Linked DNA regions of Diceros bicornis minor. The protein of the gene in region 2 interacts with the protein of the main gene of each other region in a pairwise test. Links are inferred from orthologs where the notes say so. Each region holds a gene or a part of one and is shown on either strand. Other genes may lie near its edges.

Evidence for each region.
Region 1: the proteins of TXLNB (region 2) and CEP57L1 interact in binary tests that used the Homo sapiens proteins (3 or more experiments, as listed by UniProt). The two-hybrid records come from large-scale screens. The link is inferred for Diceros bicornis minor from reciprocal best matches to the Homo sapiens genes TXLNB and CEP57L1.
Region 3: the proteins of TXLNB (region 2) and CT55 interact in binary tests that used the Homo sapiens proteins (3 or more experiments, as listed by UniProt). The two-hybrid records come from large-scale screens. The link is inferred for Diceros bicornis minor from reciprocal best matches to the Homo sapiens genes TXLNB and CT55.
Region 4: the proteins of TXLNB (region 2) and keratin, type I cytoskeletal 15 interact in binary tests that used the Homo sapiens proteins (3 or more experiments, as listed by UniProt). The two-hybrid records come from large-scale screens. The link is inferred for Diceros bicornis minor from reciprocal best matches to the Homo sapiens genes TXLNB and KRT15.

The regions. Positions count from the first base shown.
Region 1 is NC_080762.1:26,352,917-26,360,865, reverse strand, and holds the start of CEP57L1 (centrosomal protein CEP57L1), read left to right. Parts: upstream 1-4,945; 5' UTR 4,946-4,956; coding exon 4,957-5,070; intron 5,071-6,346; coding exon of another isoform or gene 6,347-7,744; exon of another isoform or gene 7,745-7,779; intron 7,780-7,949. Other genes in the region: FOXO3 (forkhead box protein O3), read left to right, coding at 6,347-7,744. UniProt on the Homo sapiens protein: Centrosomal protein which may be required for microtubule attachment to centrosomes.
Region 2 is NC_080778.1:19,217,715-19,224,771, reverse strand, and holds the start of TXLNB (beta-taxilin), read left to right. Parts: upstream 1-4,052; coding exon 4,053-4,491; intron 4,492-7,057. UniProt on the Homo sapiens protein: Promotes motor nerve regeneration. May be involved in intracellular vesicle traffic.
Region 3 is NC_080781.1:123,058,373-123,065,216, forward strand, and holds the start of CT55 (cancer/testis antigen 55), read left to right. Parts: upstream 1-3,840; 5' UTR 3,841-3,909; coding exon 3,910-4,000; intron 4,001-6,844. UniProt on the Homo sapiens protein: Plays a role in spermatogenesis, possibly acting in the regulation of the autophagy pathway.
Region 4 is NC_080757.1:40,843,702-40,851,612, forward strand, and holds the start of keratin, type I cytoskeletal 15, read right to left. Parts: upstream 3,012-7,911; 5' UTR 1-3,011. Other genes in the region: KRT19 (keratin, type I cytoskeletal 19), read right to left, coding at 4,638-4,919, 5,029-5,154, 5,269-5,430, 5,731-5,887, 6,120-6,202.

The DNA.
Region 1 (7,949 bases), on a different chromosome or scaffold from region 2:
GAGACGCCTGCAGTCTGCCTGGTGGGAAGCAGTGGGTCTGGCTTGAGTGTTGACAACCATAATTCTCATTTTGCTGCTTTTGAGACAGCAGAAAAAAAAAGAAGAAAAGGCTGTCTTTTAAAAAAAAAAGAAAAGGGCAAGAGCCTTTAAGAGTTAAATTACACAACTCCCTTTTTATTTTTAAAGTCAGTGGATTCCTTGTTGCTGTTGCTGAAAAAGATAAATTGATACCACATGTTGCTTCCAGACAAAACCCTCTCTGTGTTCCAGGGGAAGCACATGCAGCTGGTGTCTGGGTTGGTGGACAGTCTCCACACGGTAAACACAGTTTGGAAGGGGCTGAAGCGGACACAGGGTAGCAACAGTTAAGAAATTACCAGTTACTCCTGACTGGCACAGCATCTTTGAAATTCTTTTAAGAGTTTGAAATCTTTTCCTGGAAGGAGCCGCCCTCACACCTTTTGGCTTAAAGTATATGGTGCTCGGAAAACAGTAAGTGAACATTTGTGATGTCACTGCTTCCGTATGTGGGATCTGACAGTTGAGAGCCTCTTTTGTGCTTGGCACTCCAATGAGTACTCTGCATGCGCAATTTCATTTACTCTTTCCAAATATCCTAGAGTTAGGCAGAGAGGGTGTTTTTATCCCCATTTTATGAAAGGGGCAACCAAGGTTAAGTCATTTGCCCAAGGTCGCAGGACAAATGCCAGGGCCAGGATTCCGACTCGGATCTGGCTGACATCAAAGCCTGCGGTCTTTCTTCGGCATCACGCTGCCTCCCTCCGTTGGCCTCCTTAAATGCATGTGTGAATTATCCACTTTGTAAAGTATTGGTGGAATACTTTTTCGTTTCAGGCAGCTTCTCTCCAACACCTAATCTGATCTGTTTTGGGTCCATCTGTCTTCACAACCAGTTGGCATATATGTAATCACTATGTGCACTTTAGCATTAGCAATAAATGCATCTTGCAGTAGACAGCTGCCTTCAGTATAGCAAGAAAAATAATTACCAGATTCTGATGTGTACAGTCATCTTGATGCTAATTTCTTCGAGGAGGGCCAAGCGAAGGGATCCCTAGCCTGTGGCCCACATGAACCACAGTAAGCATAGCGTGACTGTGGAAGGAGAGTTGCCTCATGCTGCCTCCTACACACTGCTGCACATACCTTGAAATATTAGGCCACTAATTGCAACTGCAATCACAAAGGACACCATTTAGCCAGTTGTTACTAATTAACTACACCTAATTTCTGTCCCAGAGCAGAGCTTGCTTCTGTGTAAATGGTTTTGTAAAAGAGAAGATTGAGGGGGCTGGCCTGGTGGCATAGTGGTTAAGTTTGCACACTCTGCTTCAGTGGCCCGGGGTTCGCAGGTTCGGATCCCCAGTGCGGACCTACGCACAGCTTATCAAGCCGTACTGTGGCAGGCGTCCCACATATAAAGTAGAGGAAGATGGGCACGGATGTTAGCCCAGAGCCAGTCATTGTCAGCAACAAGGAGAGGATTGGCAACAGATGTTAGCTCAGGACTAATCTTTCTCACCAAAAAAAGTAAGTAAGTAAAGAGAAAATGACATAAAAATGAGATGAAGAGTATTCTTATCTCTGCTCTCTCTTCAGACACGTTGTGATGGAGTTGCTTTAAGGGTTCCCTAAATCTTTGGATCCATGTTGGAGAAAAACTGGTATATTTATCCCTGAAGCTCAAGTTTCTTTCTAAAGATGGTGCTTTCTTGTAATTCATCAGTATCCTGATTTCTTGGTAGTGGATTTGACTAACCGGAACTATTCAACATGGTCTGGGGTTGAGGTTATAGTTGCTTCTTGGTGCCTTTAGTTAGTAAACTTGATGACAGAATGGCCTGAGCTCTAGCAATAGGAGTCTTGGTTGGTAATATTTACCTTTTCGCCTTAGCCTTAAGGAGAGCACATCCCTGGTACTTCAGCCAATTAACATTGGCCTGCCTCACAAGGTGTTTCAAAATGTGTATTTAGATGTGATCAGAAAAACCACTCTAGTCCTATCAAACCATTCCTCCTTTACCTTCAGCTCCTGATCCCCAAACTAATGTAAAATCTTAGAAATTTAGACTATTTGGTAAGATGATATATGAATTAGTGGAAAACCATAGAATATTTTTAATCTGGTAGTTTTATAGTTTAAAATACACATAGTACATTAGAGACTAATTGACAGAGCCTAATGGAGAGGTCTTTAGAAAACTTAAACTATAAATCATAAGAGGATTTTACAGTTGGCTTGCCTATTTTTATAAATCCCACTTCTTTATTCCTGGGATTGAGGTGAGGGAGGAGCAGTTTGAAATCTTACAGAAATCATATCATCATTAGTTTTTGTCATCAGGGAAGGTGTGGAGAAACATTGCAGTTCTGACATTTTATCCAGCATTTATTTATTTACCTTTTCCTGCTTCACCAAAATTTAGATAGAGAAGCTAGTGATTAGAATCACGACCTATGAGGGAAACCAGAATACAGTTCTGGCATCTGACCTTGTCAGAGTGAGGGGCCATATTTGTTAGCTTCTGTCAATGCCCTGCCTTCAGATAATGGATTTTGTAAATGGAAGGCTGGCCAGCCTGTATGGATAGAAGGCTGCTAAGAAAGGGGACTATGAGGATGGTGGTGGCACAGTTTCTGTTTGTGTTGTCTCAGTAATGTAACTGGAAAAACCTGTCTGAGTGTTGTGTAGGTAATACACCTCAGGGAATGTATTCTGCCACTAATAACCTCTAAAACAAGAATAGAGCAAATATTGGACACCGAAGCTAATCACCCGTGTAATAAGTTGGGTTTTGTTTCAGAATGGTAACCACTGCCCTCTCCTTAGAGTGAATGCTGTGGTGGGCACCTTAGCAAAGAAAGCATCTGCTCAAGTGAGCCTTCACTTATAGGTTTGCTCTTCTGAAAGACAGGCTTTCTTTTAAATTTTTTTTTTTTTTTTTAATTTTAGAAAAGACCCACCAAATTATTACCCCTAACTATTTTGTAAACAAAATTGCAGTAATAAGATTGTGCTTTTGTATCTTTCTTTCATAAATGTTTGTTTCTTTAAATGTTAGCACAGATAGGTTAAACAATGACTTCTACATAATTTGGTGACAGACCTTTGGTTCTTATAGACACTAGCTGTGTGACCTTGTGTGAGTTATTTAATATCATCTCTCAGCCTGAGTCTTAAGATATATGATGAGGGCACTGATGCCAACTTTGCAGGTTTGTTATGAGGATTAGAGACAATGAATCTAAAGCCTATGGCCCAGTACCTGCTGGTGCTGTAATCAGGCAGGCTCTCCGTTCTTCACCCTGGAAGTTAGGGCCTGGGCTCTGACCCCTGCAGATCTGTTCCTAGGTATGGGGATGCCAGCCCCTCTACCATGTACCCTTACAGAAGCTTAATTTTTATCTCCAAATTTTAACCAATTGTAGCTTTTCATTTTATAAAATTACACGTATACATTGTCGGGGTTTAGAGTTGTAGTAATAGATGACCATTAGAAAATTCATACAGGGCATTTTGGAGATCTCTAAATTATTTCTTTTTTTTTTTTCTCAGTTTGGAATTGGTTAAATTAAAAATACATTTTTAAGAAATATTGTTCCCTAAATGCTTTTTAAAAGGAGGATAACTGGATACTTATGATTGGTCATTGTTAATTCTGAATGTTGGTCTGAACTCTTTCCAAAATCTGGAGCAGAGGGGCCTGGCCAGGGTGGGGGTGACTGGACCAGTGTCCACGTGGCCCCGCATAGCCTCAGCCTATTTTTCCACCAAGAAGATGAAGCTTAAGTTTTTGTTTAATATATCTAGTCGTGTGAATACTCAATAGTAGAACCACCTTGCACTTGCCTGCTTTGTGAATCCCACCAAGTGAGTTTTAAGAGCATGCTTCAAATCCATTTTACAGAGACAGTGTTTTACTTTTTAAAGAAATGTAATTTCTGAACCATTAGTAGAGATGCCATTATTCTTTTAAGAACCATACGAGTGAAAGGGAAGCAGGATATATAGTCTCCTGGGCAACATTTGTCTCATCAGATACAGGCCTGTTGCCTGTTTGCTTCTCACAAATGCATCTTTATGGCCACCGTAGAAATGCCAACTTTTGACCCACGGTTGTTGACGCTCACTGCCCAGCCTGAACTGTAGGCCTTCCTTGCACAGAAACATAGACGTGGGAGGTACTGTGAGTATTTTGGGTTATTTACTTATGGTAACATCCCGCTGACTTGCTGTGTTTTAAAAACATTCTGGTAGAACACATGTATTTGTATCTTCTACATAAATACAGTTGGCGATTGCCAATTTTTTTAAAACTATGGGAACTTTTAGGATTGTTCGTATTTAATGCACAGCATCAGGCAACATCTTATGTCTTTAACTTGCAAATAAAAACTCATCTGGCCTGCAGGTGCTGTTCCAGATGTGGAGAATCCATCGACTCCTCTCTCTTATTCCACGTGAGGCATTTTACAGATTAAAAGGAGCTCGCACAGGTGGTGAGCTCTCTCCACCAGGGACTCGGTGCTTTCTAATAGCGTAAGAACACTCTGATTTCGTACGTGACTGGCTCCTAAAGTATCTTATCATATATCATCCTTACGTCATCCCTGTCAGGGAGGGGTGATTTGGATGCTATTAGGGCTGTAATGAAGATGGAGAACTGGAGTTATTGCAGATGGGTTAAGTGATTTGCTCAAGGTCACATGGTTGGTCACAGACAGAGATGGGACTGGATCTGGGTCATGCTGTCAACTGGGCTTATCTACCAAGCCAGGAGGAGGATTCTTGCAAGATGGGTGTAGTCATTAGTGTTTTGAAGCTATTTTTCCCTATTTCTCTTTTCTTTTTTTGTGAGGAAAATCAGTCCTGAGCTAATATCTGCCAATCCTCCTCTTTTTTAGCTGAGAAAGACTGGCCCTGGGCTAACATCCATGCCCATCTTCCTCTACTTTATATGGGACGCCGCCACAGCATGGCTTGACAAGCGGTGCATCGGTGCACGCCCGGGATCCGAACCGGCGAACCCTGGACCGCCGCAGCGGAGCGTGCGCGCTTAACTGCTTGTGCCACCAGGCCGGCCCTCTCTTTTCTTTTTTAATAAACCTTTTAATTTAGAAGAGTTTCAGATTTACAGAAAAGTTGCAAAACTAGAACAGAGAGTTCTCATATACCCAACATTGTTTTCCCATATTGTTAACATCTGTTAGCTTGGTACATTTGTCACAATGAATGAACCAATATTGACACATTATTATTAACTAAAGTCCCTAGTTTATTCAGACTTCCTTCATTTTTACCTAATGTCCTTTTTTTGTTCCAGCCTCCCACCCAGGATACCACATTATGTTTGGTCATCATGCTTCTGTAGGCTCCTCTTGGCTCTGATAGTCTTGAGGAGTACTGGACAGGCATTGTATAAATGTCCCTTAATTGGGATTTGTCTGGTTTTCTCCTGGTTAGACTGGAGTGATGGATTTTGGAAGGAAGGTGCCATTTTCATCACATTATTTGAATGCATGTCATCACCATGACTTATCCTGTTGATGTTCCCCTTGGTCACCTGGCTGAAAGAGTGTTGGTCGGTTTTCTTCAGTGTACAGTAACTCTTTTCCCGCCTTTTTGTACTGTTCTCTTTGGAAGGAAGTTAACTATGCTCAGACCACATTGCCTTGAGGGGAGAGTATCTATAAATTATTTGGAATTTTTCTGAATGGGAGATTTGCCTGCTTCTTCTGTCATTGCTGCCATTTTTTCCTTAAGCCTGCCAGACAGGTATGACATTGTGGCAGGAGGAGACGGAATCATAGAAAGGATAGGTTAAAAATGCACTCCAGTTCTGAGCTCATAGAAGTTAAGAAAAGGTAGATGCTGCTTCTATGCTGGTGGAAGAGGGGACGATGAGAGAATAAATAGCCCCTGGGTGATTCATTATCCTAGAGCCAGGGAGGTGTGTGGCGAAGTGCGGGGAGAGGGTGGTGTGGTAATAAATTATAAGTGTGAACTTCAGAATAGGAAATACAATTACAGAAAGGACAGCAAAACTTAGGAATTTGGGGAAAACAATGTCAGTGAGCTTATACATTCCCAGCATCTCCTGGATATGAAACCATCACCCACCTCCTAAATATAAAACTTGCCGTTTACAATGTTGTCATTTAACTCCAAGCCAAGGCGGGTCCTGCAGCTGTTTGTCTTTTTTTTTTTTTTTTAAGCCTCTGAAATTGAGGAGTTTTTAAAAAATGAGTCCGATTAACTGTTTCTTCTCGGTACTCAGTTTGCAACATTCAGGCTCATCTTCTGCATTTTCCCTTCTCTCTGCAGAACTCTATCCGGCACAACCTGTCGCTGCATAGCCGGTTCATGCGGGTCCAGAATGAGGGGACTGGCAAGAGCTCTTGGTGGATCATCAACCCTGATGGGGGGAAGAGCGGGAAGGCACCCCGGCGGCGGGCCGTCTCCATGGACAACAGCAACAAGTACACCAAGAGCCGTGGCCGTGCAGCCAAGAAGAAGGCAGCCCTGCAGACAGCCCCCGAGCCAGCAGACGACAGTCCCTCCCAGCTCTCCAAGTGGCCTGGCAGCCCCACATCACGCAGCAGCGATGAGCTGGATGCATGGACGGACTTCCGCTCACGCACCAATTCCAATGCCAGCACAGTCAGCGGCCGCCTGTCACCCATCCTGGCAAGCACAGAGTTGGATGATGTCCAGGATGATGATGCGCCGCTTTCCCCCATGCTCTACAGCAGCTCAGCCAGCCTCTCACCCTCTGTAAGCAAGCCATGCACCGTGGAGCTGCCACGGCTGACCGACATGGCGGGCACCATGAATCTGAATGATGGGCTGGCTGACAACCTCATGGATGACCTGTTGGATAACATCACGCTCCCATCGTCCCAGCCATCGCCCCCCGGAGGGCTCATGCAGCGGAGCTCTAGCTTCCCATACACCACCAAGGGCTCCGGCCTGGGCTCTCCCACCAGCTCCTTTAACAGCACGGTGTTCGGACCCTCGTCTCTGAATTCTCTGCGTCAGTCTCCCATGCAGACCATCCAAGAGAACAAGCCAGCTACCTTCTCTTCCATGTCACACTATGGCAACCAGACACTCCAGGACCTGCTCACTTCGGACTCACTCAGCCACAGTGATGTCATGATGACCCAGTCAGACCCCTTGATGTCTCAGGCCAGCACCGCTGTGTCTGCCCAGAACTCCCGCCGGAACGTGATGCTTCGCAATGACCCAATGATGTCCTTTGCCGCCCAGCCTAACCAAGGGAGTTTGGTCAATCAGAACTTGCTCCACCACCAGCACCAAACCCAGGGCACTCTCGGTGGCAGCCGTGCCTTGTCGAATTCCGTCAGCAACATGGGCTTGAGCGACTCCAGCAGCCTTGGGTCAGCCAAACACCAGCAGCAGTCTGTCAGCCAGTCTATGCAAACCCTCTCAGACTCTCTCTCAGGCTCCTCCTTGTACTCAACTAGTGCAAACCTTCCGGTCATGGGCCATGAGAAGTTCCCTAGCGACTTGGACCTGGACATGTTCAATGGGAGCTTGGAATGTGACATGGAGTCCATTATCCGTAGTGAACTCATGGATGCTGATGGGTTGGATTTTAACTTTGATTCCCTCATCTCCACACAGAACGTTGTTGGTTTGAACGTGGGGAGCTTCACTGGTGCTAAGCAGGCCTCATCTCAGAGCTGGGTGCCAGGCTGAAGGATCACTGAGGAGAGGGGAAGTGGGCAAAGCAGGTCAGTGCCCAGTGCTATGGCATGATAACCCAGTGGGGATGGTTGGGGGAGGCTGTCTTTTATTTGCTTTGAACTTGACTCCACATTGAGAATTTGAGAACCGTGGAGCGGTGGTGCACAGTAACATGGCTGCCGCCAACCAGTTCATCTCCAAGTTTTACCTGCAAAAC
Region 2 (7,057 bases):
AGTGCTGACCTACTGTTTGCATTTACTGAGCAATCTGACTGAGTCGGTTTGCTATAATCCAATATGGAATGCCATGTACTTGCGGCCCTCAGCAAGGACTCGTTAACTTGGAAGGAAATGCTTTTTCTCTCACCCATTTTAATTCACCAACTTTATTACCAAATGGTGCAATAAACAGCTTCACTCTCTTCATCACTGGAATTTCTTTATCCTGACCTCTACGTGTTGGGTATACTCATCTATACATAACTTATGCCTACTCTGAACTTGGAGAAAGGGTTGGGAAAATGTTTGGGGGTGGAATATTTTCGTTTCCCCTTGCTACTGTGACAATTTACCACAAATCTAGTGGCTTAAAAACAACACAAATTTATTATTTTACAGTGTGGAAGTCAGAAATCCAAAATGAGTTTCACTGGGCTAAAATCACGATGTCGGTAGAACTGCATTTCTTTGGGAAGATCTTGAGAAGAATCCATTTCCTTGCCTTTCCCAGCTTCTAGAAACTTCCCGCATTCCTTGGCTTGTGGCCCCACGTCACTCCGACCTCTTTTGGAGTCATCAACTCTCCTTTTCTGACTCTGACCCTCCTGCTTTCCTCTTTCCTTTGTAAGGACCCTTCTGATTACATTCAGCCCACCCGGATAATTCTGGATAATCCCCCCATCTCATGATCCCTTATATCTCTAACTTAATCACACCTGCAAAGTCTCTTTCACCATGTAAAGTAACATATTCACAGGTTCAGGAGACTAGGATGTGAAAATCTTTCAGATAGCATTATTCTGCCTACCACAAGGGGGGTGTCACAATGCCCAGCCTGTACCAAGAGCAGACACTGATGGAGGAATCTGCTTTGCAAAGTATGGGAACACGTTCTCCAGAAACAGAAAGAAAAGGGGAGTGGATGCAGGTTAAAAGAAAGAGGCATTTTATGGTGAATGAGGAGGAGGTGCTTTTCCTGGGGAGAATTAAGGAGCAGGTTGAGAGCTTGGAAACAGTGGGAAAGACTTGGAAAAGCTTCCAAGTCTTGGAGGTGGGGAGTCTTGGGTGTGTACGGTGGGAAAGCCTCCAACTAAGGAAGAAAAAGCAGACTGCCTCCCCCAGGGCTTACCTGAGATGGGAAGGCAGTACCTGAGACTAGAAGGCAGTCACCTGAGTAAGAGGTGGGATCAGAGGTCCCTCCAGTTACCATGAACGTGAAAATGACACGAAACCCACAGCCTAAATAACCGTCTAAATTTTTATTTCAAATTTTACAAACAAACCAAACAATGACATCAGAATAAAAGTAGTTCTAGCACCTCCTTTTTGTTATGCCATTGTTTTTTGTTTTCCATGATTCCTTTAAGAAACCTGACACTAATTAGGCTAGCGTAAGAGGGGAAAAAAAGGAGATGAATCAGAAACCACACTGGAAATGAACCAAGAAATAAGAAAAACCGATCTCTGCCCAAAAGAACAACAATGGTGAAAAATCGTGCTAGCAAAGAGGCTGTATACTGAGAGTTTACATTTTCAAAAGGATGAAACATGGGGAGTCTGATAAGATCTATCAGCTGCTCCTCTTTTCTGAGACATTTGCCCAGGAGACTGCTACAGAAGCTTGGGTGTATTTCTCTCTTGCTGTGTCATAGGATGTGCCTCTACCCTCCCCGCCCCCTCCCTGCTCTCCTGCGGCCTCGGTGCCTGTGTGTGTGTGTGCGTGTGTGTGTGTGTGTGTGTGTGTGTTTGGTCTCTCTCCCCTGTAAGAACACAGCTGCCCGCCTGTCTCCTGCTGTTGCTGCTGCTTTGACTAGCTTTCTGCTGCCTCTTGCCTCTCCTTTCTCTTTCTGCTCAGCTCCTTGCCTTCTGGTAAGTGTGACAAACACTCCCCCAAGCCCTGTGAGAAGGTGTTGGGTGCGGTTTGTGGTGTTCGAAACTTGCACCTTTGAGATTGCCAGTGAACTGTTGAAGAACTTTCCATTGTTGTATTTATAATTAAACTGTGTTGCTCAGGAAGGGACGTGTGTGTGATAATCTGCTGGGACTGCCAGTACACGTGAAAAATTCTCTCAGAGGACAAAAAAGACAGGCAATAAAGTTTATAGAAGATAAAATTTAGAAATAATTTCTTGCTAAATTAATCAACATGGAAGGAGACAATTTAAAAGTAACAGAGGTGTTGGATTTTGTTTTTTTCCTCTTGTTGATTTATCTTGAGGCTACTTTTACGAATTGAGTTGTCCTGTGGTTTATAACAACTCAGTTATTCTATTTTAAAGCAAATGTGGAACATGAGTTTAAAGGATATCCACGGAATTAGTAGAAAAAACATCAATGATTATGGCCTCTGATGAATGAAGAATAGATCAAATACAAACAAAACACTTGCATTTAGACTAACGACACTAAAACTCCTCTAGACAATCAGTTTAAATTCCTTGCTTTGAAGTTTGGTTAACTTTAGATTTTATTTCATCCTAAGAAGCCTCCTAACACTTTAAAACCCACATCTGGATTTAAACCAGTAAATGTTTGCTGTTTTCAATTTGTATTAAAAAGTATTCTCTTCCTTTGATTTTCAAAGATGAAGTGCTAAATGCCAGGGCTCCTTTTAGAAGAGCTTAAAATAACTCCTGGCTGGACAGCAGGTGCCGTGTGTCTCTCTCCAAGTTCAGGGGAGGCGTAAGTTATATATAGATGAGTGTGCCCAACAAGTAAGTGTCGGGATAAAGAGATTGCAGTGATGGAGACAGTGAAGCTGTCTACTGCATCATTTGATAATAAAGGTGGTGAATTAAGATGGGCGAGAGAAAAAGCACTTCCTTCTAAGTTAATGAGTCCTTGCTGGGGGTCACAAGTGGGTGGCAATGTCTGTATGTTGAGTTTTCTGTTCTTGGTGTTCAAGCATTTGACATCAGCTGCCCTGAGGCTGGGGGGAGGAAGCTGTGCAGTGCACAGAACAGTGTGTTTTTGTTTTCGCTCTCAAGCCACACAGCAGCAAAACCTGTGCATTATGAGGACCCTGTCATATTTTTATGCTGCTAATTAGCAGCATCACCATTAAATATCACTTACAAATGAAACGCACCATAACTTAAAGGCCTAAGCCAAATCTATTACAACCCTAGAAATGGCAATAGCCATAAACTCTAGAACCCTTGACTCAGCTAGTCCCTTATCCCCTATTTCCAAAGAGCCCATATTATATCTGGGTTATTTCCCTAGTTCATTCCCTCCCTGTTCATTAAACATTGCTATTTCTTAAAAATTAACTTATCCTAGGGCTTCTTGACTGAGAAGGGAAGGTTGCAATGTTTTTTTCTAAAAGAAAGTTAGTTTTTATATTGGAACAAAAAATACGTTATAGAAATTCAAGGAATTATTATTATGAGTATCACCATGTTTTCATACTAGTTTGTGTGTTAACTTATATCTTCCCTCATTTTCTGTCTTATTTCAAAAACGATGCTAGTTTGAACCTCAAGAATAGTGTTTTCCTGATTGATAATTACACGTTACTCATCTGGGAAAAGGAAAATACCAGAAAAGCAACAAAGTATCTCCTGTAACCAGTATAATAATTCATTTACATCAATGTACTCATATTAATCAAACCTTCATTTATAGATTAAAATAGTTTAGGAATGTTATTGTTATGAATAATTTTAGTAAGTTCAATGGATTTTGCATTAAATGTTTTAACTTTGAAAAAAACAACATTTAAAATTTAAACATTTTAAATGTATACATCCATGTACTTCCAATGACTGTAAATCAACATAGAATTATATGAGAATTGCAACACAAATGGGCTATTCTAAGCAAAATGACAAATATGTCCACCAAAAAGACCAACACCAAAGTATGCTAAAAGACCCAATTTGGAAAAATGGCTTCCTACTGTTCCTACCTACTTAATTGCAATATTGATGGTTTGTGAAAGTACATTCACTCTATGTTAGAAACTGTAATTAGTAGGTATCCGTTTGAGGCTATCCTTACCATTTACATTTAACTAGGTTAACTACATAAAACCTGCTGGGCTTCCACTAGATTCTACTCCCGGTATGGAGACGAATCACTCTGTGCCACTCCCGGGGGACCCCCAATCGACACCTCCTGGGGACATTTCATCATTACCCGCTCAAAATGACCTGGAGAAGCAAGATGATCAGGCTTCCTCAACCCCACTCCGAGCATCAGAGGAGGAGGCAGGTGTGCAGCCTGAGCAGGGAGCTCATGATATCTCTGAAGAGTTGAATCGACAACTGGAAGACATCATCAACACGTACGGGCCTACTGCCGGCACGGCAGGGAAAGGGGGTCCCACCAAGGCCCAGGAACAGCCTGAGAACCCAGAACCACCTGACAATGAGGACGGGGATGGCGAGGAGGCCACTGAAGTGACGGAGAGAGAACCCGTGGCTTCTGGAGAGCCCCTCACAGCCAAAGAGCCTGCCAGCAATAAAGAGCAAAAATTGGAAAAGAAAATCCTAAAAGGATTAGGCAAGTAGTTATGTTCTAATGTATGACTTTTCTTTGAATTATTCCTAAAAGGGGCACTTCCTCTAGCCTTTACTAGAAGCCACATGTCATATTTGGATTACTACAATAGCTTCCTTTAGGATCTCCCTGCATCTTCTCTTACTGTACTTGTCCCCAGGCGTTTCCCCTAGATAGAGTTAAAGTGAACTTTCAACATGTCACCCACCTACCCTCTGTCCTCAATGGCTTCCCACTGCTCTTAGGACAAAGGCCAGAATTCTTAATACGGTCTTTCAGGCCTTAAGCATCTCTCCAGCTTTGTGTCCCATCACTTTACCCCACAACGTCCCCTTCCTGGACACTCTGCCCCTGTCACCACCACCACTGCTACAGCCTAACAGCTAGACATTCTGAACTTCTCTTTCAGTTCTTTGAACTGAAACATGTTCTTTGAACATGCCATGCTCCATCACTTACAGGGCCTGGGTCCCTCCTATTTTCTCCACCTAGAAATTCCTGCCCATTCCCCAGTTCAGCCCTTTGGACACTTAACTCATTTTTCAGCTCACAACTCAAATGGCATCTTTTTAGCCCAACCTTAGATAAAGTCTTCCTGTTTTCTGTTTCTATTGCACCATGCATCTTCCCTTCCTAGTGTCTATCAGCATTTGAGAGTATGCATTTACTTCTGTGATTATTTGGTTCATGCATGACTTCCCCATCAGCTCTTTTACCTCAAGAGCAGAGACTGTGTATATTTGGATATCACTGGATGCCTGGTGTCTAGAACAGTGGATGGCATATGTTAGATGCTCAATAAATGTTTGTTATTAGGATGAATGAATGAGTGAATGAATGAAAGGAAAACTGTTTAAAGCAAAGCTAGTGGAATCTGGATTTAAACAAAATATAAATATAGGGATGGTTCTGTATATAAAATGATTGTCAATTAGATCACTTAGTAGTATGTTCCATTACTATATATTCTTTTATTTAACAAAACTTAGGAAATGTATCAATTATAGAATGTCAAAAATTGCAGAAAATATTTTTACTCTGGTTAGTTAATTGGTTCAGCAAAATATTCATTAATGTCTAGTCTTCATGAGGTACTGTGCTAGGTGCACAAAGATAAATAAATCTTCAAGACCGTTTGGTTAAGGCACTCTAGGTATGGAGAGAGAAACAAACATGCAAACTAGTTGTTACATAGGGCAGTGTGAGAACAGGCACATGAAAATTGTTAGGAGAGCATGGTGGATTGTTTACACCAAAAATGGCTGTGAAAGAGGGTGAGAGAGTTAGTTCTCTAGCTACGAGTGAAAGCATGTTACTGCACACATGAGAGTCCCTCTGTCTTCCTTCCTTGGTGAATTTCCCTGTAGCACTCTCTACAAATGCCACCTCTGTGATACATTCTCTGACATGCCCAGGTAGAGGAAGCATCGCCTTCCTTAGTTCTCCATTAATTTTTCTACAGTAATCTTTTATTTACATGCCTACTTCCCAAGCTGGATGGAGAATCTATCAAGGGCAGTGACCATGTCTTACTCATTTCTGGAAGACAGTGTGGCAGAGTGAAGGATCACAGGTACTGGAGTGAGAACTGGGTTCAGACTCCAGTAACAGGTTATCTGTAAACCCAAAAGTATGTCTATGCTGACATAGGACATCACTATGATGCTTAAAACCCATTGTTGGCAATACTTTCAAGAAGGGCTGAAAGGCACATTCAAATAGCACACCTGACCTACCCAGCGTAAAGATTAAAATAACCCAACTAATACCAAATTCCAAATCGCAAGATTAGCATCACTCTAGTGTTCTGGAACTCTGGGAAAGAGAATGAAGTTGCTTTGTTTTACAGAGCCATTTTTCCTTCTCTATCAAAAGCATCTCAGCAATATCCCTTTGCATTTGTCATTGTTAAACTTTCCATAAGACAACACAAAGTCACGTGGCAGAGATGAATGATTTCAAGTGTACCTAACCAGGAAAGTTCTTTTGCTTATCACTCTAAAACTACTTCTATATAGGAATCTGTATGTGTTGTCTTGGGGGCATGGATATGAAGAAAGCAGAGGTAAAGTTCAAGATGACCACTACTCTGTCTTCCCTGAATTATTTCAAAATCTATGGTAACCTTATAATTACCAATAATCAAAATATTTTAGAGAAAGAAAAAACTCCACAACTTTAGTTCTGCCACTATCTACAGGTTACCAAATTTCAATTGAATGTGTTTGATCAGAACCAATGTTTGTGTATCAGAGCGCCCAGGTGGGTCCACCTAATTACATGTGTGTAAACTGCTGACCCTTCCTTGGCATTTCTCTGAATACTATCAGCATATTCTTCTAAACACTGTACCATTTCAGCTACATTATGAATTAAAACAACATTTTTAGGCTAATCAAAATATGACAATATTATTTCAGTTGTCCGCAAGGGACTTGAGCAGGCTTCTTGGCTGTTTATCAATTAAATGACACTGCACCATCGTCTAGACCAATGATTTTCAAACTTAAGTGTGCACTAGAATCAAGTACAGAATTTGTCAAAAATGCTGTTTCCTGAACACAGAATT
Region 3 (6,844 bases), on a different chromosome or scaffold from region 2:
GAAAGAGGGACATCAAACAAATGAGGAATGAATAAACAATTCAAGGCAGTGTGTGTTAGTAGGAGACTTTCAGAGTGCTGGTATCTCTGAGCACCTAAAGTATGCCTGGGCACCTTGGCAGCTGACCCAGTGTAAAGGGCCCAAAATGAAGGCCACCAACCCCAGGGCCCACTGGGGTCTTGGGCCTTATTGTGAGAGCAACTAAAGAGTATTAGGTGAGAATCAATTCAGAAATTGCAGAGTAAGAACAAAGAAAGTTCTCAAATCAATAAGGGTTAAGTTATAGCCCTTGGGAGTCTGGGGCTATTTCTGGGGCTTGTCAGAACCAGGTAGAGACACGTCCAGCCTGAAGCAGCTTTAACAACATGGGCAAAACTAGAAACTAGAAAAAGAAGAGTGACCTGAACCCAAGGCAAGCTGAAGGAAAGAAATTGTAAAGATTAGAGCAGAAATAAATGAAATAGAGAATAGAAAAATAATGGAGAAAAATCAATAAAACCAAAAGTTTGTTCTTCGAAATGATCAAGAAAATTGATAAATGTTAAGGTAGACTGACCAAGGAAAAAGAGAGAACACACAAACGACTAAAACCAGGAATGAAAGAGAGGACGTCCCTACCTAAAAAAAGGACTATAAGAGAATTCTATGAACAATTGTATGCTAAAAAATTAGATGACCTAGATGAAATGGATAAATTCCTAGAAAGAGAAAACTATCAAAACTAACTGAAGAAGAAATAGACATTGAATTGTCTACTTCAAATAGGTGAATACTATGGTATGTGAATTATATCTCAATAAAGTTGTTATAAAAAATTAAAAATAAAACCCAAAACCCTTATAAAAAAGAAATAGAAAATCTGAGTCTACCTATAACAAGTAAAGAGATTGAATTAGTCATTAAAACACTTCTCACACTCACAAAAAAAAAAAAAAATAAGCCCAGGTCTAGATTGATTCACTGGTGAATTCTACTAATCACTTAAAGAATGAATACCAATCCTTCTCAAACTTCCAAAAAACAGAAGAAGAGGGAACACTTCCCAACTCATTTTATGAGAGTAGTATTACCCTGATACAAAAACTAGACAGAAACATCACAAGAAAAAGAAATAATAATTACAGACCAATGTCTTTATGAATATAGAAACAAAAATCCTCAAACCAATCCAGGAACATATAAAAGGATTGTACACAATGACTGTATTAGTTGGCTAGGACTGCCATAACAAAGTATCACAGACTGGGTGGCTTAAACAACGGAAATTTATTTTCTCACAATTCTGGGGGCTAGAAGTCCAAGATCAAGGTGTCAGTGAGGTTGATTTTTTCTGAGGCCTCTCTCCTTGGCCTATAGATGGTGATTTTCTCTCTGTGTCTTCATATGGTCTTCCCTCTATCTGTGTCTGTGTCAAAATTTTGTCCTATAAGGACACTAGTGATATTGGATCAGGGCCCATCCTAATGACCTCATTTTCACTTAATTACCTCTTTACAGACCCTATCTCCAAATACACTCACATTCTGAGGTACTGGGGGTTAAGACTTCAGCATATGAATTTAGGGGAACACAATTCAGCTCATAAAATAGCCAAGTGGAATTTATCCCAGGAACACAAGTTTGGTTAAACATGAAAATCGGTCAATATTGTACACCTTATTAATAGGATAAAGGCCAAAACCAGATGATCATCTCAACAGAAAAAGCAATTGACATAATTCAACATCCTTTCATGATAAAGTCACTCAAAAGACTGAGCGTAGAAAGGAAATTCCTTAACCTGATAAATGGGGAGGGAACAGCTGGGCCCACTAGATGCCCTGGATATTAAGCTGCACAGTGTCCAGGGCCAGTCGAATATGGAGATAGTGTGCACTGCCCCACACTCAGGACTTTGGGGCTATTTCTGGGGCTTGTCAGAACCAGGTAGAGATACGTCCAGCCTGCAGCAGCTTTAACAACCTTGGTAAAAATAGCAGATGTGATTGTATATGAGCTGGAGAGGGAGGGATTTTAAGGGATTTGGTGGTGGATGAGGCATTAGAGGGTCCCCAGAGAGCAGGCTGATAAGATTTCTGAGTGATGTATCTGAGGAGACCAAGAGGCAGTGGGCGGTGAGTGTGGTGTAGAAGGGGGTACTGGAGGTGAGGGACTCTGGCAACCAATGGCCCAGGAGAACTGAGAAGTTGGGATCACCTGAGGTTGAGAAGACATCCACAACAGGAGGGTTGGCGAGGTGGGGAGTGAGGCTGCCAGGCCCGGGCTTCAGAAAGCGCCATCACAGATGGGTAAATGCTTTTACTCTCCTTCACCACAGGACACTCCCTAGGGTCCAGAGCACTTGGCTGGCCAGGGCCTCCTGGAGAGAGGGAGGGTATATGGGAGGAATGCAGGGTACTGTGGGTGGGGCCTCAAGGTGCAGAAGGAAAGCCCTGGTCCTAGGAAGTGATGTGGAATGCAGGATGGATACTGGTAAGAAAAAGGGATAGAGAGGCTGATTCGGGTTTGTGTTTTATATCCCGAGACCATGAGGAGCCCTAGACTGGCCATCATGTTGAAAGAATAATACCCACTAAATTGCCTATTTGTGGGCTTTGGGAAGTGGATACTCTGCCTCTACAAGTTTTTCACAGTCTTGAGGGCACACTGGAGACATTTGACTCTTGTTTCAGACATTCTCGAGTAAATGGTCTCTACTGTTACCTAGAAATGGGGATTCTTAAAGCTACACAAATGTTTTAGAAATAGACTTTTGGTAAGTGGTACATTGAAGACAACCCAAATCCTCATTTAATATTCTTCTTCTTCTTCTTCTTCTTCTTCTTTTTTTGCTGAGGAAGATTCACCCTGAGCTAACATCTGTTGCCAATCTTCCTCTATTTTGTATGTGGGTCCCCACCTTAGCATGGCTGACAACTGGTGTTATGTCCGCCTCCGGAATTCAAACCCAGAACCCCAGCCGTAGAAGCAGAGCGTGCGGAACTTCACCACTGCGCCATGAGGCGGCTCCTAATATTCTTAATGTGACGATGTCTGCATGGTTCCCAAAAGAAAATAGTAGTGATATAATCCAAACTCCCTGCATGGTGCTACATCACCTGACCCTCCTCACCTAGCCATCCTCGACTCCAGATCACACTTAGATGTGTCTCTCAGGACCATAATGAGTGCTTTGCTATAAAGCCGCAGTTGGCCCCAGCTTCCAAGCAGAGCGGGGCACAGCCTCTGTTTTGAGACCCAAGTAGATGTGCAAGTTTGCCTTTTTCACAATATTATGATATCATTTAACATTGAACAGAAAGCCATTGCTTAGAGCTGACCACTGAACTCTCGTTGGAGTGGGTGTAGGAGCGAGGAGGTGGGGCTGTTGTGGGGTGGGTGGGTAGAGGGTGCCTAGAAGCAAAGGAAGAGAAAAGAACTCAGGCAGTGCAGTGAGGAGTGGGGGCTCGACACCTGCAAGCCAGAGCCTGGGAGCCTGCCTCCATTGTGTGGGTGAGCTGCTGCACCACCTTCCAAGAGAGGCATCAGGCCCTCCCTGCAGAAGCCTGCAGAGGAGACCCTCTACCCTGCGAGATGCAAAAAGGGGTCGGACTGGAAGAGATTTTCGGTGGGCCACCATATTTTCACCCTCGCCTGTGAAGGAGGAGCCACGAAGTCCCGCCCACCAGCCCACTGCATCTCAGTGGCCTCCACCAAGCACACTACGCCCCCATTGGCGGGATGGTGGGCACCGGAACACTGAGGATCCTCAAGTGGCAGCCGCAGTCAAGGCTTGTGTGAGGACCTCTGGCGAGAGGTTGGGCGGTGCAAAGGAGCCGGCACCATCTCTGAACTGCCGTGATCGGAGTGCAGCTGGGAGGCAGAGACTTAGAAGCAAGCCTCGCGCCCAGTGTCACACACGACGGGACCATGTTCCGGTTTATTTCCAGGGCTCTTGCCTTCTGGAGGAGAAGGGACTCGTCGGAGGGACAGAGGGCTCAGTATCTGAGGCTCTTGGAAGGTACTCAACTCATCCCCTCCCTCCCCAGGGGCCTGCACCTAGACTTGTACCCCACTCCTGGTTCTGGGCCTCAAGAGCTCAGACGGGCACTGCATGCCCGAGGCGGCGCCACTTTGTGGGGAGGGCGTCCCCGCGTCCCTGAGCTCGCCTGGCACTCTCCTGTCCGAAGTGTCGGTGGTGTAGACAGAGAAGGCCTGGCCCATAGGGAGCTGTGCCTCACCGTTGCATTTCCCCAGATGCTTTTGGAACTTACATTGTGCATATGTTATGCAAATGTGTAACAGATTGCTTCCCACATTTCCAGTAGTAATGCATCTCCCTGATTTGAGGGTACATTTGATTTTGTTTCCCAAACGGGCATATGTTTTGAAGCCAAGCGGACAGTCATATATCTCGTCGATAGGAGGGTAGGGGCTGCGTTTAACTTGCTCCCTTTGTATTCTAAAAACTTGCCCTAGATTTGGCACTGAGTGGATGACTCAAGGGACACTTTGAAGGCGTCATTTTGTTGGTGGGAATCTGTTAAAACCGAGGTTTGCTGGGGTGGTGGCGTCCCTGCTCTGAATCACGTTGATTCTGACGTGTGTTGAGTACTTGTCTGCGCCAAGCACTGGGCTTGGGCCGTGAGGGCATTCGTGTCATTTCGTCCTCAGAACCCTCCCAGGAGAGAAGCCTGGGTATCGTCAAGTCCGTTTTACAGCCGAGTCGGGGAGACACAACCAGGAACGAGAGGACACGGGGCTAGTCTCACCCAGACCCTGAGGCCCAGCAGTCACTTCCTGACCTCTGTGCTCCTGCCTCTGAGGACTTCCTTCCACGGGAGTCACTTCACAGTGTGCTCGGGATGGTCCTTTGGAAGAGACTCCTAGTCGGTCAGCATTGTTCTCTCAGCGGAGGCCTGGCCTTCCTGCTGCCGGAATCTCCCTGCAGCTTCTGTGCCGGCCGAGGCTGAAGCCCTGCAGAGGTGGCTGAGTCTTAGCTGACGTCCCCACAGAAGGCTGCTGCTTAGCTTTTAGCGTAAATCTTGCATGGCCGGGTCCACTAATTATCCTCACTTTTACCAACTGGATGACACAGGACTTACAGGTTTCTCTTGCTATCGGAAAGTAGAGCGTTCCTATGAAACCTTGCATAAGCCGAAATGGCGGAAAGCAAAGAAGCAATTACTATTAATTTGTATGGGAAAATTTTGCGAGCGTTTCCACACCCAAAAATAACCTACCAAATTAAATCAAGATAAAGCGCAGATGCTCACAGATACAGTTCAAAGCTATGGCAGCTTGATGCTGAGATACTGAGTATAGTTCCCCAGGAAGGAGTCTGGCGGCGTCACTCTTGCTGCTCGGGGTGTGCGCTGCCTCTATAATGGCTCACTGAAAAACAAACGCTGAACGCTTTTTTCCATTTTTGCCTTTTTTCATAAAAGCTAAAATCCACTTCGGATTTCTTTCAGTTAGCGAAAGCAGGTACTACTGTAGGTCTTTCGTAAAAGCGAAGTGGTGTAAATGGAACTTTCGAGTAACAGGGGAAACCCGTACAGTATTTTCATGTGCCTCAGTGGCAGTTGTCACCCTTGTTCCTTTCTTGTATTTTATTATTTCACCTGACAGATTTGACCTATTTTTTTCAAATTTTCAGGATTTTCTTGGCCTCTGATTCCATAATCTATTACGATCAAAATTTTCCCCAGCCATCCTGTCAGTTCCGCCAAGTCTTTGGGGAAGCACCTTACACCTAAGGCGTTGTCCTTCATAGTGTGGGCTCTGCAGGCTGACTCTCTAGGTTCAGATCCCAAATTATGGCTTACTAGCTGTGTTTGTTCAGAAAAAAATAAACCTGAGTGATTCAGATACACATTTGTGCTAGATTTAAATCCCAAGATCTCTTTATGTGCTTTTTGTGGTGAGATGTTTAAGAATCTCCAGATACTGCTGCTGATGCTGTTGTTGATAATGATGGAATTATATAACAATAATGGATGCTTAAAGACTGCCTAGATGCAGATACCATGACAACAACTAACATATAAGCTCTAACCTGTGGGAGACATTCACAGTTCTAAGCAGTTGATGTGTATGCATTAGTTAATATTTATAACAACCCTTTTTTCCCCAGCTTTATTGAGATATAATTGACATAAATCATTGTATAAGCTTAAGGTGTACAATGTGATTTGATATATGTATATATTGTGAAATGATTACACAGTAAAGCTAGTTAATACTTTAAGCTAGTTAATCACTTCACATAATTATCTTATTTTCTTTTTCTTTTTTTGTGAGGAAGATCAACCCTGAGCTAACATCCGCTGTAGCCAATCCTCCTCTTTTTTGCTGAGGAAGATTAGTCCTGGGCTAACTAACATCTATGCCCATCTTCCTCACTTTATATGGGGCGCCTCCACTGCGTGGCTTGACAAGCGGTGCGTCGGTGCACGCCCAGGATCCAAACATGCAGAACTCCCGGCTGCACAAGCAGAGCGCACGCACTTAACTGCTGCGCCACCGGCCCGCCCCTAATTATCTTATTTTCTGTGGTGAGAACATTTAAGATCTACTCTGTTAGGCAGACATTGTTGTTGTCCTGGGTTTACAGATGAAAACAGGTTCAGAGAGGTTAAGAAATGTGCCCAGGGTCACACAGATGGTAAGTGGAAGAGCTGAGATTCAAAACCAGGCGGTCTGGCCCCAGACTCAGTGCTCTTACCAATGGCACTGCACCGCCGGGGGCGTGGAGCCACCGTGCTCTACAGAGAAATGGTGGAACGGAATTTGAACCTAACATTCTGCCTCTAGACTCCTGCACACGTAACCACTAAGCTCTACTGTCTGTGTCATCTGTATC
Region 4 (7,911 bases), on a different chromosome or scaffold from region 2:
GACGAAAGCCACCAGGCTCAGGGTTGACACGGGGCTGATTGATCCTCCCGCCACCTGCCGACCGCACGTGTCCCTGAACCTTTGCTTGCTCCCGGAACACGTCGGGGCAAACCTCTGCAGATAAAACTGGAACACGTTCTGGGAAGCCCCTGCCTCCTCCTCCGGGGAGAGGCATGTCGCTGCATAGCTGGGCCAGATTAACCCCATTTGTCCTGCAAAGTGATGTGGCGCTGGAGCGGGACCTAGCCCAGAAGGCTCTACGTGCCTGAACGTTGTGGGAAGGGAGGAAATATGGAGGCCTGGTGGGCAGACTGGAAGACACTTCGAAGATCTTGAAGGCCAAGGCACCACTTCACAGAGCAGGTTGCTGAGGCCAGAGAGGGGAGTCAAACACTCAGGAGAGCCCTTTTCTCTGTCACCAGCTCAGGGGCCAGCTTTCCAGGGGTAGCTGGTACCTGTGCACAGTGCCACTTGGAGGCGTGAGGCTGGGGAGGTGAGCAAGACTAAGCTGGAGATGAAAGAGGACTCCTGGCCCAGGGCTGCAGCGCGGTGAAGTGGACAGCGCTCGGGTGTTCCTCAGGCCTGGGTTCAAATCCTGGCTCTATGGGTTACTGCTTGTGAAACCTTGGACGTGTTACCTGTAAGTCTGTTTCCTTGTGGCAAGGGGCACTCTCAGCTCTCACTTATGGGGAGGCCCTGAGGCCCAAGGGCCCCCATCCTGCTTCATCCTGGCTCCCCATCTTCTGGGGGCCGGATAGCAGGGTGCATGTCCAGTACCTGGGACTCCCGCGTACCCTCACCAGGAGGGACTTTCGTCCTGCAGCATTGCTCTTCCAGAGCCAGCCCCACTGGGCACCCAGTGCAGGTGGTTGCCATTATTGCTGTAACAACAGTAATCCCTTACCTTCAACCGCACACTTCACGGTTTAACAGAGCCCTTTTGCATCCATCGCCTCCTCCAATCCTCACGACATAGAAGACGATCCCTGCCCCTGTTTCAAAAGAAATGAAATTGGGGCTCAGAGAGGGGAAGCAGTTTGTGCAAGGTGGCACAGCTAGTAAGGGGCATCGCTAGGACTCCAGTGGGTCCTCTGACCCCACTTAAACAGAGGACAGGAAAAAAGAGTCCCTCCCACAGACCCCAGATTCGTGCATCTGAGCTGGTAGCTGGGGGCGGGGGGGTGGGTGGTGTTGGTTCTGCTGGCCTGGGGAGTGGGGACGGGCTGTCCCTCAGTGAGCCAGGCCTCCGTCCGAGCATCCCAGTGCTGAGCCCTGACAGTGCTGTATTGTCTCATGGGTGGGCGGATATTGTCTTTTCCTCTGAAAGAAAAATAATCAAACTCAGATCAGCCGTAGCTCATTAAAGCCTCTGTAGTCATTAGGGCCCAGCAATTAACATGGAAAAAATTATGCGCCATCACCCAGGGTGAGGCAGGACTGGACCCCAGCCAGCCCCTCTTCTGCACCCTGACTCCCCTCCAGAAGCCCCTCGAGGTGGCTTTCCCTCCTCTCTCAGGCCCATGCCTGAGGCAGCAGCTGCCCCGGTCACAAATCCCTGGTTTCAGCCTAAAGAGCTCCTGTGAGCTCTAGGTCTGGGTGGGGCTGGGCCTGCTCATTAGCACCAGGTGGCGATGGCTGCACGGGCGGAGACCCAGCTCCTTTGGGCCCAGCCTGGGCTGCAGGCCCTTCCTCTGGCAGCCCGCCCAGGAGGCTGTGCCAGTTTCTGTCCTTTGCCCACAGCAGACAGACAGGCCGTCCCCAGAGCCGGCCTCTGTCCTTGGGGTGGGACGATGCAGCCCAGCGGAAAGAGCCTGGGCTGGACTCCGCCTCTGGGTGTGACAACCTCTCTGAGCCAGGTTCCCGACTTAAAATTGGGACATTTTTCCACTTATATAAGGCCTTAGAGTAGTCAAAATCATGAAGATAGAAAGTGTAATGGTGGCTGCCAGGGCCTAGGGGAGGGAGAATGGGGAGTTATTGTTTAATAGGCAGAGAGTTTCAGTTTTAAAAGATGGGAAGAGTAATGAAGATGCATGGTGGTGACGGTTGCACAACAACGTGAATGTACTTAACGCCACAGAACTGTACACTTAAAGATGATTATGATGGTAAATTTTGTTACGTGTATTTTATGACAATTTGAAAAAAAAAAAATAATTGAGTCACTAACACTGACCCCTGCTACAGGGCCACAGTGAGCATTTAATGGCACATGGGGAGGGGTGCCTCCATAAACCTGAGAATCCGCTACCCCCCTCCCCCACTCCCCACGGAGATGCAGGGGACAGAGAGAGCGTATGATCTGGGGCCTGGAGAATTGCTCCTTTGTCATTCATTAGATATGTGGCTTGGGGTAATGGAGCCTCCTATCTCTGAGCCTCAGTCTGCCAATCGGAAAATGGAAATAACTCCTGCCCAGTCTGACTCACAGGGATGGAGCAGAGAACTGACAGGAAATGCTTTGCAAACTGAACTGGTCATGATGACCAGCCGGGGTGGAAAGACCTCACCTCCCTGTCCCCTTCCCCTTTCTCTCTCCCCCTCTCCCTCTCCTCTATCCCAGCCACTTCTGTCAACAGAGCACCCCTAGTTTCAATTCTCAGACTGAGACAGAAAAGTGTCCTCACCCCTACCTCCCCAACACACACACACACACACAAAGGAGGGCTTCATTCCTGACACCCAAACCTGGGACCCAGTCACCTGCTCCACCTGTGTGGGCCCAGCCCCAGACCTACAGCCACATTCTAAGAGCCTCGGGGCAGAGGGGAGGGTTTCAGCTGTGACAACAACAGAGGCTTTCATGAACTGGGACAAACATCCTGGGAAGTCCCAGCCTGGCAGTAAGGCCAGGCCTCTGGCCTCTGGCTCCAGGGCCTCCTGAGAAGTTAAGTAGGAGAGGGAGCTGTGGGGGCTGGAGGCTGGAGAAGAGCTGGGGACGTGGCAGAAGGGGCTCCTGGCCCAGGGCTGCAGCAGGGAGAGGGAAGAGCTGGGCTCTGGGGTCACCCGTTGATTCGTTGATTCGGAGCAAGCTAATAAACTTTTCCAAGGCCCAGGGGAAACGGCGGAAAGGGGACCTCCTTCAGGATCGGCTTTGCGGGCCTCCTTAGCCAAGAGTCAATCTGTTCCCCTATAGCAGACCTTCTGGGGGAAGGAGCAGTGTCCCTTACAGGATTGGCCTGCTGTCACACAGATCTGCAGGGCCTGAACAGACTCCCTCAGCCTGAATCTCTCAGCCAGGGCGAAGTAGGACTTATTTACCCTTAATTGGCCTCAGTTCTTGGCAGCCAAGCTATAAACCACAGGGGCAGGACCAGACCCACCTGAGGGCAGAGCAGTACCAGGAAGCTGGGACCGGCGTTCCTTTGCTGGCCCGGAACCAGCCCAAGGCAGGCCAGTTTGGGGGTCTGTGTGGGAGGTCTGGGTCTCATTCCAGGCTCTGGGCCCAGGCATGGCTGGTGGGCATAGGGGCTTATGCAGGGCTGCCCGGGACATGGATGAATGTGTTAGTGCACGCACACCGGCAGATGCACCCTCTCCAGCCTTACTCTGAGCGGATGCCTGCCCCCCCCATTACTCAGGCTCTGACCCCAAAGCCGCAGTTCCTCCTTCAGTTAAGTGAACTGCCTCAGGGGATCCTGGTCCTAGGCCTTCACATGGAGCAAGACTGGAGTGTACTGAGGACTTGGCATAAGCAGGGTGGATCCTAGGACACAGGGGTGCAGGGGTGACACTGTGGTTAAGAATCAGGAACCCTGGGGCCAGCCCGGTGGCATAGCAGTTAAGAGCATGCGCTCCGCTTCAGCAGCCTGGGCTCTGGATCCCGAGCACGCACCGATGCACCGCTTGTCAAGTCATGCAGTGGCAGCATCCCATATAAAGCAGAGGAAGATGGGCACAGATGTTAGCCCAGGGCCAGTCTTCCTTAGCAAAAAGAGGAGGATTGGCAACAGATGTTAGCTCAGGGCTAATCTTCCTCACAAAAACAAAAAAAAAGAGAAGCAGGAACCCTAGATTCTGGTCCCGGCTCTGCCACGTAGTCGCTGTGTGGCCTTGGACAAGTTACTTTACCCACTCTATAAGATGTAACTCATACTATCTACCTTTTTATGTTGATTAAATGGCACATAGTAGGTATACAGTAAACATTAATTTCAGACACACACACACACACCAACCCTTGGGGGAACACAGTGTAAAGAAAACGAAATCTGGAAGCAAAACCAGTTTCAAATCCCACCTCTGCCGTGTGTTAGAATAGTTATACATACAACAAATCACTTCACTTCTCTGAGCCTTAGTTTACCCCTCTGTAAAATGGAAGCAATGCCTATTTCACAAGGTTGTTTTAGGGAACAGGTGAGATAAACGAAGACTTCTGCAAACAGGAATCACAATTAACAGAGTTTGTGAGCGCACTCCCGTCCCTTTCCTTGGACAGGGTGGACTCTGATCCAAATAAAACCTGAACAGTGCCAAGGCCTGGCCCATCTCCATGGGCTGAAATAACAAACCCAATGTCCTTCCTCCCTTGGGCCATAAAATTTTATTGGCAGATCAGAGGGAGAGCCACAGTAAAGATCCCTCCCCTCCCATGCCCCTACTCAGGGGCATCCCTCCACAGGAGGCTGCCGGACTCAGTGGGCATTGGGGGGTGGCGGCTTGTCAAAGGGGCGGCCCGGGCCCACAAGCAGGGTGGGGGCGTCCTGGCCCTCCAGCAGGCTGCGGTAGGTGGCAATCTCCTGCTCCAGCCTCGTCTTGATGTCCATGAGCTGCTGGTACTCCTGGTTCTGCCGCTCGGTGTCAGCACGCACGTCGCTCAGCTGGGCTTCAATACTACTGATCAGAGCCTGGATCTGTGCCAACTGCGCTCCGAAGCGAGCCTCTGTTTCTGCCAGCGTGCCTTCCAGGGCAGCTTTCTGAGGGCAGGGAGAGGGAAGGAGACTCAGCAGAGCATGGTTCCCAGAGGGGAAATGGGCACGCCACCACCCAGGCTACCCAAGCCTGCAAGGACTTGAGGGCACATACCATGCTGAGCTGAGACTGCAGCTCGATCTCCAGGCCCTGGAGAGTGCGCCGCAGGTCGGTGACCTCCGTCTTGCTAATCTGCAGCTGCTCTGTGTGGCCAGCGACCTCCCGGTTCAGCTCCTCAGTCTGCAATAAGAGAGGAGGTGGAAGGAATAAGCCCTGAGCCAGAACTTTGCCTGGGAGCATCAAGCCCTCCCTCCTGATCACCTCCCCAAAGGGCATCTGCTTCCCTCTTCATACCTTGCTGATGAACCAGGTTTCAGCATCCTTCCGGTTCTTCTCAGCCATGACCTCATACTGGCTTCTCATGTCGCTCAGGATCTTGGCTAGGTCAACGCCTGGAGCAGAATCCACCTCCACACTGACCTGGCCACCCACCTGGCCCCTCAGGGCACTGATTTCCTGGAAAGATAGCAGAGTGGGCATGTCAGAGCCCAGAGCCTGCTGGGTCTGGGCCAGGTCACGCCCCCGGCCCCCACGCCTAAGGGGGCTGGTTTTCAGGTGCAGACCTAGGAGGCAGCATGGGGGGATAGACTGGATTGCCACCACTCCCTGCTGGAACCCTGGGAGCCACACTCTGCACCCAGGGCCATGCTGAGGGTGCAGCAAGTATGGCGACAGTCAGAGGATACAGCATAAAAAAATATCCTCAGCCCTGGGAAGCTAGGGTGGAAAGGATGGAAGGCCCAGCTTGAAACACACCTCTTCGTGGTTCTTCTTCAGGTAGGCCAGCTCTTCCTTCAGGCCTTCAATCTGCATCTCCAGGTCGGCTCTGGCCAGGGTCAGCTCGTCAAGCACCCTGCGCAGGCCGTTGATGTCGGCCTCCACGCTCAAACGCAGGGCCTGCTCCGTCTCAAACCTTTCAGAGGCAATAGCTGCAGTCAGGCCGGCATTTCCTCTGCACCTCTGAAGACTTCCCCACCTCCCCAGGGTTTAGGAGTCTATGGGGTGGGGGAGGAGTTGCTTCAGACCAGCTGGGGTGGGTGAGGGCAGGGCCCAGTCCCCCCACTGCACTGAGCCCCAAAAGGGCCTGGGATTGCCCCTCCTTCCCTGCCCCGGCTTCTGCAGCCCTCCAGGGCAGAGGCGCTTACTTGGTGCGGAAGTCATCCGCAGCCAGACGGGCATTGTCGATCTGCAGGACAATCTTGGAGTTCTCAATGGTGGCCCCAAGAATCTGAAAGACAGGAAGCAGGAGGTTACTAGCATTGCCCACCCACTTTCTCCCCAGAAGAGAGAGAGGAGAAAATGAGCATGCCCTCGTTCCCTAGAGACCAAAGCCCCAACCACCTCTCAGGCTGCCCATTGGCCTGCTCCCTAGGTCTTGGAATCAGTCCATGCTCAGGAGCTGGAGCAGGAGAAACCACTGCTGGGGAGGCTGAGCCGGGGTTAGGGAATGGGCGAGGGAGGGCAGGGAGGTAAACCGGGAGGAAAGTCTCTGAGACCCCGTACCCAGGGAAACTCTAAACGGTCTTAGAGAGGCACCTCTAAGTGATGTGCAAACCGGATGCAGGGACGTGTAGGGGTCACCCTTGTCTATACCCCCCCCCCCAAAGCACACTCTGCCTCAGGGAAAGGAATTCCATTTGTTGAGCATCTATTATGTGGGGGCACTCTGCATCTCAACTTTCACACCAGGTCAGTGGGTGCACCTGATTTACAGAGGTGGAAACTCAAGTTCAGGATTCCTGGTCCAAGTTCACCCCAACCAGAGGTCCCTCCCCTAAGGGGCGTATTCACACCATTGATTAAGATCCTTGGGTTTAGTGTTTTTCAAAGAACAAGTTGTGACTCGTTAGTCATTGTACTGGGTGGTGATTTGCACAGTTTTTTAATGAAACAGAACAGAATGTCAACTATCAGAAGGGTTCACCCACAGCAGGGTAAGGATTGTTTCAAGAAGCTTTTGCTTCCATTGTGTGTGTGGGGGGGGGAGAGAGAGAGGGAGGGAGGGAGGGAGAGGGAGAGAGGGAGAGAGGGGGAGAGGGGGAGGGAGAGAGAGGGAGGGAGGGAGGGGGAGAGGGAGAGGGGGAGAGAGAGGGAGGGAGGGAGAGGGAGGTGGGAGAGAGAGAGAGAGGGAGGGAGAGTGAGAGAGAGGGAGGGAGAGGGGGACGGGGGAGAGAGGGGGAGAGGGGGAGGGAGGGGGAGAGGGGGAGGGAGGGAGAAAGGGAGGGAAGGAGAGAGAATGTGTGAGGATGAGGGTACATAGTAAAATGTGACTTATGGTAGGTCACAATTTTAAAAGTGTGAAAGCAGTATCCTGGATGGTTGTTTTCATCTCTAGCTCTCTCTTTGTCCATGGGTTCTGTTCGGTCTATGCCAAGGACAACCAGCACCATGCCAGGAACATGGTGGGCACTGGGCAATGTTGTGGGGAGCCCCGTGTTTGGAGACCCAGCATGTGGGGCTGTTAAATGTCCCACTGGCTTCTGACGCATTTCTTCAGGATGGAGCTCCGAGCTGTTCCCTGTGAGTGGAGATCAAGTCCCACCCTGCATGCCCCTTAGGGCCTCCCTTGAAGACCTGTGGCTCAGACCCGGGGTCTCCAGCCAGGGACTCTCCACCCAGAGAACTGCTGCTGCACCTGGTCTTCCCGACAGAGGTCTTCACAGGCAAAGGACTCCCCGGGTCTCTGCATAAGACCCTCCTTTACCCTGTCCAGGGGCCACGGGATATGCCCCTCCTTAACCGGCCAGGGGCCACAGCTGGCCTCTCGCGTGCTTCCTAGAGGTCCTCTTAATTCCGGTGTGGCCGCCTGGGCGGGGGAGGAGAGGCTGAGCGTGATGGAAACCAGACCTGCCCCGCCAGAGAGCAGGAATGCAGAGGGGTCCAGGCCGGGGGCACCAAGGGGCAGGTCTGGCCCAGATTCCCCTCAGGCCAAACTTG